Linked DNA regions of Caenorhabditis elegans. The protein of the gene in region 1 purifies or fractionates together with the protein of each later gene. This does not show direct contact. Each region holds a gene or a part of one and is shown on either strand. Other genes may lie near its edges.

Region 1 (3,923 bases):
CAAGTTCCGAAAACTCCTGAAGAGATTAAATTTTCTAATATTTTCAAAAGGAAAATCATTAGCTTCTTTTGTCGTGTCTCCGTGTTCATCGACCCTCAAATCGATGGCGATCTGTTCAAATTCTATTCATTTTCGATGTCTCTTCGGTTCAGTGTTTCAGATCGCGTGTTGAGATAAACTCTTCTTTGTCATTTACATTTTAACTGTAACTTCAGTGTAATTTTTTCAGTTACAGATTCTTTTGTTTCGGAAAAAACCAGATGGTATTTACTATCTTTGAATTTTGTCACATAAAAGCATCTTCAAGACAACGAATGATTTCTTTCCCGTGAACTCTCGATGAACACGCGATCTGTTTGAACAGCTGTGTGATTTCCAATCATAATATTTCAAAAGTCATCTGATTCTTTCCATGATTTACATAAGAAAAGCTAAAAACCCATGTGAGTATGTTATTTGCAAACGCGCTCCATTCGAACTCTGCACATGACGATTTCATTCTCTTCTCTTCCCTTCTCTGCCTCATTTAGCCGAGTCTTCTCTGTGTTTTCTCCCATTTCAGCCTTTTTTTGCTTTTGTTTTTCTATTTTTCCATTTTCTGTTCCAGATATCTTCTCGTCTCATTCGTTTCTTCATCCTCTTTCGAAAATTAGATTCCGTGCAATAAATGAGTCCCTTCTCATGGCATTTTCTCCAGCTAATTCACTCATTTTTCAGAGAATGTCGGAAAAACCCGAAGATGTAAAAGTCGAGGAAACCGATGAGGAAAAACCGAAAACCACGGAAGATTCCGGATTCGCTGGCGGATTTGGAGCTGCTAGTTCATGGCTCAACCAGGGTTCCTCTTGGGGAGCATCATTTTTGAATTCTGCCAAGGAAAAGGTAAGTGCATAATTAAATTTCGCAATAATTGTGTTTTATCCTATTTTACTTCACAAAAACAATGAAAATTCCTTCTAAAAACAAATTTCAGACGATGACAACTCTTGACCTAGTCAAAAAGGATTTGAACGATTTGAGTGAAGCCGTCTCTGCTGAAGTAACCGATCTTGCTTCAGCTGCAAAAGAAGGTTTCGGGACTGCTGCAAATGCTGTCAAACAACAAGCTCAGATGCTGGAGAAGCTTGTGACTCCGAATGAAGAAGAGAAACCATTACCAGGAGAAGGAGACGATAATGGTGAATCATCGGAACAGAAAACAGGAACTGAGAAACCAAAACTGGAAAGCTCGAACTCTCTGAGCTTTGGATGGATGACTAAGATTGTGGATACGGTTACAGATACGGTCAAGAATTTGGCAATGGAAGAGACCACTACCGGAGAAGACGATTTTACTGAAGCTATCAAGCCCAAGAAAGATAGAAAAACTTGTTTATCAAAATTGAAGCTCTCCGAAATTCAATCCAACGAATCTATCTATCTCACTGAACCAGGAAATTCTGAATTTTATGAAAGATGGATTTCTCGCTTCAATTTAGACGAATATGACGGAGAGATCAATATTCTTCTTGCAAACAATCCATCATTGCGTCAAATGTTTGCAAATCTTGTTCCAGGCAGTGTCAATCATGAAACATTCTGGAAACGGTATTTCTATGCTATCGAGGTTGCTGAAATGGAGGAAGAAATGAACAAGTCGACACTCTCCGAGGCATTGAATGTTGATACAAAATCACCAAAGAAATCGAAAAGAAAGGGATCATCTGGAACATCATCAAAGAAATCATCACCATCATCTGAATCGTCTGTAGTGGTTGTAGAAGAGCCAACGAGTCCGTCACAATCTGAATGGAGTGTTTGCAGTGAAAAGAATGTTGAGGTTCGTTTTGTCGCTGAACCATAATTTTTTTTTCGAAAAATTTGCACCAAATGTTATTAAAAGTGCTGCCCAATTATTGAAAATCGATAGCAATGTCAAACTAGTTATAGGAAATTCCATCAAATGACGAAGATGACGAAAAGGGACCATTGACACCTCGACCTGAAAGCGAAAAGAAAGAAGAAGGATGGGTTAACTGGGATGAATAATTCAAATGCTCTTTTTTCACTAAATTCACTTCTTTTTCGATATTCTACATGTTCCTGTCAATAATTCCACTGTCACTCCTATCTCTTTAAAGCTTCTAGAATCAAATGGCTAGCATCATTCCCCCATTTCTTTATTTTATGGAATTCTTTTTTATATGTATATACAAAGTTAGAAAGGTCGGTTTTCCTTCTTCGAATAATCTTATCTCTCCTCTGTTGGTTTGTAAATAAAAATTGCATTTTTATTTTATTTTCCACATTTTTGATTCGCTATTTGTGGTTTTCCATTCCACTAATGTATCTGCAATTAAAATCAAAGCTTGAAAATGTTTTATCATATTTTTTCAGAAAGATGAGCCAAGGGTATGATAATTACGATGATATGTACGATCAAAACGGTGCATCACCGGCGCCGAGTCAAAACGAAAAACCCGGGAAAAGTGGGCCTGGTTTTGTTGGAATCAAGTTTTGCCCAGAATGGTAATTAGTTTTATATTATTTAGGAAATTATTTCCGGCAATTTCACAAAGTGGCCGATTGCGCCTTGTTGTTTCAACATTTTTCATTTAAAATTAGTGTGAAAATATTGAAATTAAATTGATTTAACTGGAAATATCATTTTCAGCTGGAACATTATCGAGCTTTGTTTTTTTTTTTGAAAATCGGTAACTTGCATGCCATTTTTAAGCACTTTCTGAAGTTTTTCAGCCGAAAATAATGTTATTTTCAGTAAAATCAACTGAATTACTATATTTTGATACTAATTTTAAACTAAAAATGTTGGAACAAAATGGCGCAATATGCCATTTTGTAGAATTGCCGAAAGAAAATTGCACCCACCTCTGGCTCAAAGCTAATAATAAAGACAAAATGATGAAAATTTGAAAAAAAACATCAAAATTGTTAAACTTCAGCAATAATATGCTGTACCCACGAGAGGATAAGGAATCACGAGTTTTGATGTATTCCTGCCGGAACTGTGAGCATCGTGAAGTCGCCGCTAACCCGTGTATCTATGTGAATAAGCTCGTTCACGAAATTGAGTAAGTTCATTGTCAAATTGACTCATTTTCTAAATCAATTGGATTATTTCAGTGAGCTCACTCAAATCGTCGGAGATATTATTCACGATCCAACGCTCCCGAAGACTGAAGAACATCAATGTCCAGTCTGTGGCAAAAGTAAGGCTGTCTTCTTCCAGGCTCAAACAAAAAAGGCAGAAGAAGAGATGAGATTGTACTATGTATGTGCATCGCAAGATTGTCAGCACAGATGGACGGAATAAAACATAGTGTCCAATTGTTTTCTATTTATTTGAAACGTTTTCTTAATCGTCAATTGTTGTTTTATTCCTTATTTCTAAAATAATGTTTTTTCGGATCTCCATATGTTCCCTACCTGTTCCAATAAATTCAAATCATCATTCAATTTTTCGATTATATTTTTTCTAATTCTCGGTTTTTACCGTACTCTTTGGTTATTTTCAAAATTAAAACTTTCTAACTAGTAACCGTAATCCAAAACTTTAAAATAGATGCTGAAACAGAAAGCGCTGGTTGATGTTCTCGGACAGGTGAACACAAGCGGTGTTGATGGTTCGTGGCTTTTCAATAAGGAAGGATTGCTCCTTGCCTACGTCGGAAGCGAACAGAAAGCCGTTGCATCAAACGTCTCATCTGCACTTATAGCCAGTGTCTGGGCTGCTCTCGAGAGAAGAGGTAGATTTTTTAAAACATGCTCATAATCAGTCTATTTCAACTGGAAAATTACCAGTTCACATTCTTCAAAGTTTGAAATCAAACACCTCGATCAAGTTGTAATTACAGCCAACGATCTGAAAGAAACTATTCTCGTTCTGGAGAATGGAGTAATTGGTTGCACACTCGTCGCTCGTA
Region 2 (3,923 bases), on another chromosome or scaffold:
CCACTGCGAATCCCCTGCTCATTTGCGCGCGCATTCAAATTTAGATTTCCCCGATTTATCGTGAAAATCGCTGCCATCTGACACCGCATTGCACCGAAGATGGCCAAAGATAACCAAAAAACCAATGAATCATTGGTCTATCGAAAATACATTATATTTTGTTGGGAGCAGCCCCACGAAAGCCACGAGAGCCCGCAAAAAGGTAAATATTGACTTAATATTTGTGGCGGTCTCTTACTTGGTTCCACTTACTTTTACCAATAGGCAGTTATTTTTGCGTTTTGTCGAAAAAATCGATATAATGTCTTATCCTGACGATTTCCCGATCCCTCATGTTATTCAGCCAGTTAAAGTGGTCCGGCACGTGGTGAAGGTGAGTTTTCAGTTTTTGAGCCCTAGAGGGGCTTTTCCCAAACAAAAAAAATTAATTTTTTTTCCAGGAAACACCTATAAAAACTCCGTACTTAGATGTTTGCCCAAAATGTCAGGTTGGTACAGTTTAGCTTTGAAAATTGAAAAATTAATTTTAAAAACAAGTTCCAACGAAAAATGCTCATATCTCTTGCGGCAATAGTGCTAACAAAAAGTTGTCAACTAATAAAATGTAGAACATAGAATTTGCAACAAATTACTAGTTGACAACTTTTTGTTAGCTATTCTCTCTGTCGAGTTACAGGAGTTTAAATGCACAGATAAGTTGAGGGTCTGTACCGTGAGCCTACTTTCACCCGCATTATCTTATGGATGAAAAATTTTTTTTTTTTAATTTTCAATAAAAAGCTGTAGATAATAAAATTTGCTACAATTTATCAATTAACGATTTTCTGATAAGTAAAATGAGAAAAAAGTTACAACAGTTTGAAATATTGTGGGAAAAATTCAAAAAATTAAAATTTCTAATTCTAAACTCTGATCGCTCATATCTCCACGGGGATTTATTTTATTGAAATTTTGTTACCTATCAAATTATAGAAAATTTAATTTTCTACAACATGTCAGTTAACAAATTTCTTGTATCTTTTGTATGCGCCGAGTTATACGTGTTTAAAGAGATGTGGTCTCTGAGAGCGCTCTGTATTTCCAAACTTTGATCGCTCATATCTCCGCGCCGGATAGCTTTATCAAATTTTTGCCAACTAACAAAATGTAGAAAATTGAATTTTCTACAACTTCCTAGTTAACAAATTTCACAAATAATTCGCATCTTCCTTCCAGACAACAATAATGACATCAGTAACAACACATATCGGAATGTGTTGGTGGCTTATTTGCTTCTTCGGAACCTTTTTATTCTGTTGGCCTATTCTCATTTGTCTGTGTTTTGATGTATCCAAGGATGTCGATCATAATTGTCCAAATTGCGGATTGTTACTTGCCACGTCGAATCGAGCCGGTTTTTAATTTTTAGAAACAGAAATTTCCAGAAATTTGTAAAACATGTATTTTTTTTTGTGACGGGCAATGAAGATTTTGAATTTTTTTGTTGGTATTTTGTTATCCCTTGACATTAAAAATTAACTGTAAGGCTTTTTTCAGTGCTTTCTGCCGTTCGGCAAATTCGACAAATCAGCAAATTGCCGGTTTGCCGACTTTGCCGGAAATTTTCAACTATGACAGTTTGCCGGATATCGACTTGCCGGAAATTTTTAGACGGATTTTTTATAAGACGGAAACATTTAAATCGGTCCTTTAAAAAAAATTTCCGTTTTCTTTAGAAATTTTCATTGAATTTGCTTACTTTTCAAAATAGCTGTAGGAACAGCCGATTTGCCAGAAATTTTCAATTCCGGCAACTTGCCAATTTGCCGATTTGACGGAAAAAATTGTATGCTGCCCATCCCTGAAAAATTAATATTCTGAAGTTTCCAAAAAAAAATGTGCAAAACCACAATTTGCCGAAAATTTTCGGCAATTGTAATCACAAGTAAAGTCACAAAAATAATCACAAGTAAAGTCACAGAAAAGACAGAAATCATGGAAAAGGGCAACCCTCTCACTTTCGCACACACTCTCCGCTCCATTACGTTGCCCTAGGGCTAGTTGGAAGTGTTGAGTTGTCCGATTGTGAAATTCCGTAGAGTATATAACAAAGAATGGGAAAAATGGTAAAGCAGATTAGATTTATCTGAAAAATGTCCTCTCCAGCTCCAAACTTCGTTTCCCACTCGGATCGCGTCAAGTCGGTGGACTTTCATTCTGAGAAGCCATGGATTTTGACTGCTTTGCACACTGGAAATGTTCAAATCTGGAATTATGACACTAAAACGTTGGTCAAGGCTATGGAGGTGAGTTAAAACGATTCTGATTTTTCAGTAAAGGAGGGGGTGTACTCTAGCTCTACTTACATAGGGGTGCTTATCTCAGCGGAGAGAAAATTTTTCAGAAAAATATCTACTAGCAAGTTATAGAAAATTTTAATTTCCCACATTTTCCAAATTGATCACTTTTCTATTTCAACTCTCCAGCCCCGATAAACTGGTTTTTACTAATTTTTTGAAACTTTTGTATTTTTTGGTTCTTTTTTTTCGGTCGTTTTTTATGGAATTTATGATCGACTTCGGAATGCCCAATTTTTCCTGACTTTTGACTTTTTTGACTTTTTTTTGGATTTTTCGGAATATCTGGGTATTTCTCTTTTCCCTCCCCCAGCCCCGCCTAAGCCTAAGACTAAGCCTATACGTAAGCCTAAACCTAAGCCTAAGCCTAAGCCTGAGCCTAAGCCTAAGCATAACCATAACCCGAAGCATAAGCCTAAGCCTAAGCCTAGGCATAAGCCTAATCCTACCCGAAGCGTAAGCCTAAGTCTAAGCCTACGCCTCAGCCTAAGCCTAAACTAGAACATTCACATTACATTTGCCAAGTTTTTCACCGTTTCAAAATTCATAAATTATATTTCCAGGTCTCCGAAAAATCCACGCGTGCCGCCAAATTCATCCATCGTAAAAACTGGATCGCCACCGCTTCCGATGATCAGCAAATCCGGATCTTCGACGCTGAAACGTTCAGCCTAATCAACGAGTTCACAGCTCACTCTGACTTTATTCGCTCCCTAACCGTGCACCCGACACTTCCCTACCTCATATCGGCTTCCGACGATCGTAAGATCCGAGTTTGGGATTGGGAAAACGAGTGGAGAATGGAGCAGGAATTCCAGGAGCATGCTCATTATATCATGCAAATTGCCGTGAACCCTGAAGACCCGGAGATGTTTGTCAGTGGATCGTTGGATAAAACTTTGAAAGTCTGGAAGCTCGGTGAGCAAGAGTCGATTTGCACTCTGGAGGGTCATGAGAAGGGGGTGAATTGTGTGGAGTTTCTGACCGGTGGGAGAATTGTTTCGGGCTCCGATGATTGCTCAATTTGTGTTTGGGATATTCAGGTGAGCGGGAATTTGAAGTTTTATAAACATGGTGCATCGAGCGGAAACACCACGCTTAACTTTAGGAGCTCGTATATCGCTGGTATTTTATTCTATCAAAATGTTGCTAATTGACAAAATATTCTTTGTTTGTTTCTCTATAATTTTGTAATTGACAACTATTTGATAAAGTCCAAACCAACCAAGATAAAAGTGGTCAAAGTTTAAAAAAAGACATGGTGCATCGGAACATTTTTCAGACCCAAAAATGCATTGAAACTCTAAAAAATGCTCACAAAAACAACGTTACCTTTGTCACCCCATTCAAGACATGGATTATCTCCGGAGCCGAGGATTCTACTGTAAAAATTTGGAATTCGCAGACTTTCTCGTGGGTTTCTTTAGCTCAACTTCAATAAAATAAATTCAAAACCTAAAACTTCAGATTGGAAAAGGAGTTGAATTTTGAGAAGGGAAGAGCTTGGTGTGTGGCTGCTGGAAAATCCGATGCAATTGCAGTTGGATTTGACTCTGGAGCTGTTACAGTGGAAATTTGAGCTTTTTC

The links.
Region 2: the proteins of rpb-9 (region 1) and Y41C4A.32 fractionate together in Caenorhabditis elegans (co-fractionation; one large-scale study listed by BioGRID). This does not show direct contact.

Annotation. Positions count from the first base shown.
Region 1 is NC_003283.11:8,010,746-8,014,668, reverse strand, and holds rpb-9 (DNA-directed RNA polymerase II subunit rpb-9), read left to right. Parts: upstream 1-2,323; coding exon 2,324-2,508; intron 2,509-2,942; coding exon 2,943-3,071; intron 3,072-3,123; coding exon 3,124-3,313; 3' UTR 3,314-3,456; downstream 3,457-3,923. Other genes in the region: Y97E10AR.6 (BSD domain-containing protein), read left to right, coding at 721-882, 974-1,819, 1,930-2,028; lmtr-2 (Ragulator complex protein LAMTOR2 homolog), read left to right, coding at 3,563-3,746, 3,855-3,923. UniProt on the Caenorhabditis elegans protein: DNA-dependent RNA polymerase catalyzes the transcription of DNA into RNA using the four ribonucleoside triphosphates as substrates. Component of RNA polymerase II which synthesizes mRNA precursors and many functional non-coding RNAs.
Region 2 is NC_003281.10:11,719,599-11,723,521, forward strand, and holds the start of Y41C4A.32 (Beta'-coat protein), read left to right. Parts: upstream 1-2,107; 5' UTR 2,108-2,132; coding exon 2,133-2,285; intron 2,286-2,660; exon of another isoform or gene 2,661-2,727; intron 2,728-2,899; coding exon 2,900-3,379; intron 3,380-3,618; coding exon 3,619-3,749; intron 3,750-3,803; coding exon 3,804-3,915; 3' UTR 3,916-3,923. Other genes in the region: Y41C4A.11 (LITAF domain-containing protein), read left to right, coding at 302-373, 441-488, 1,216-1,401.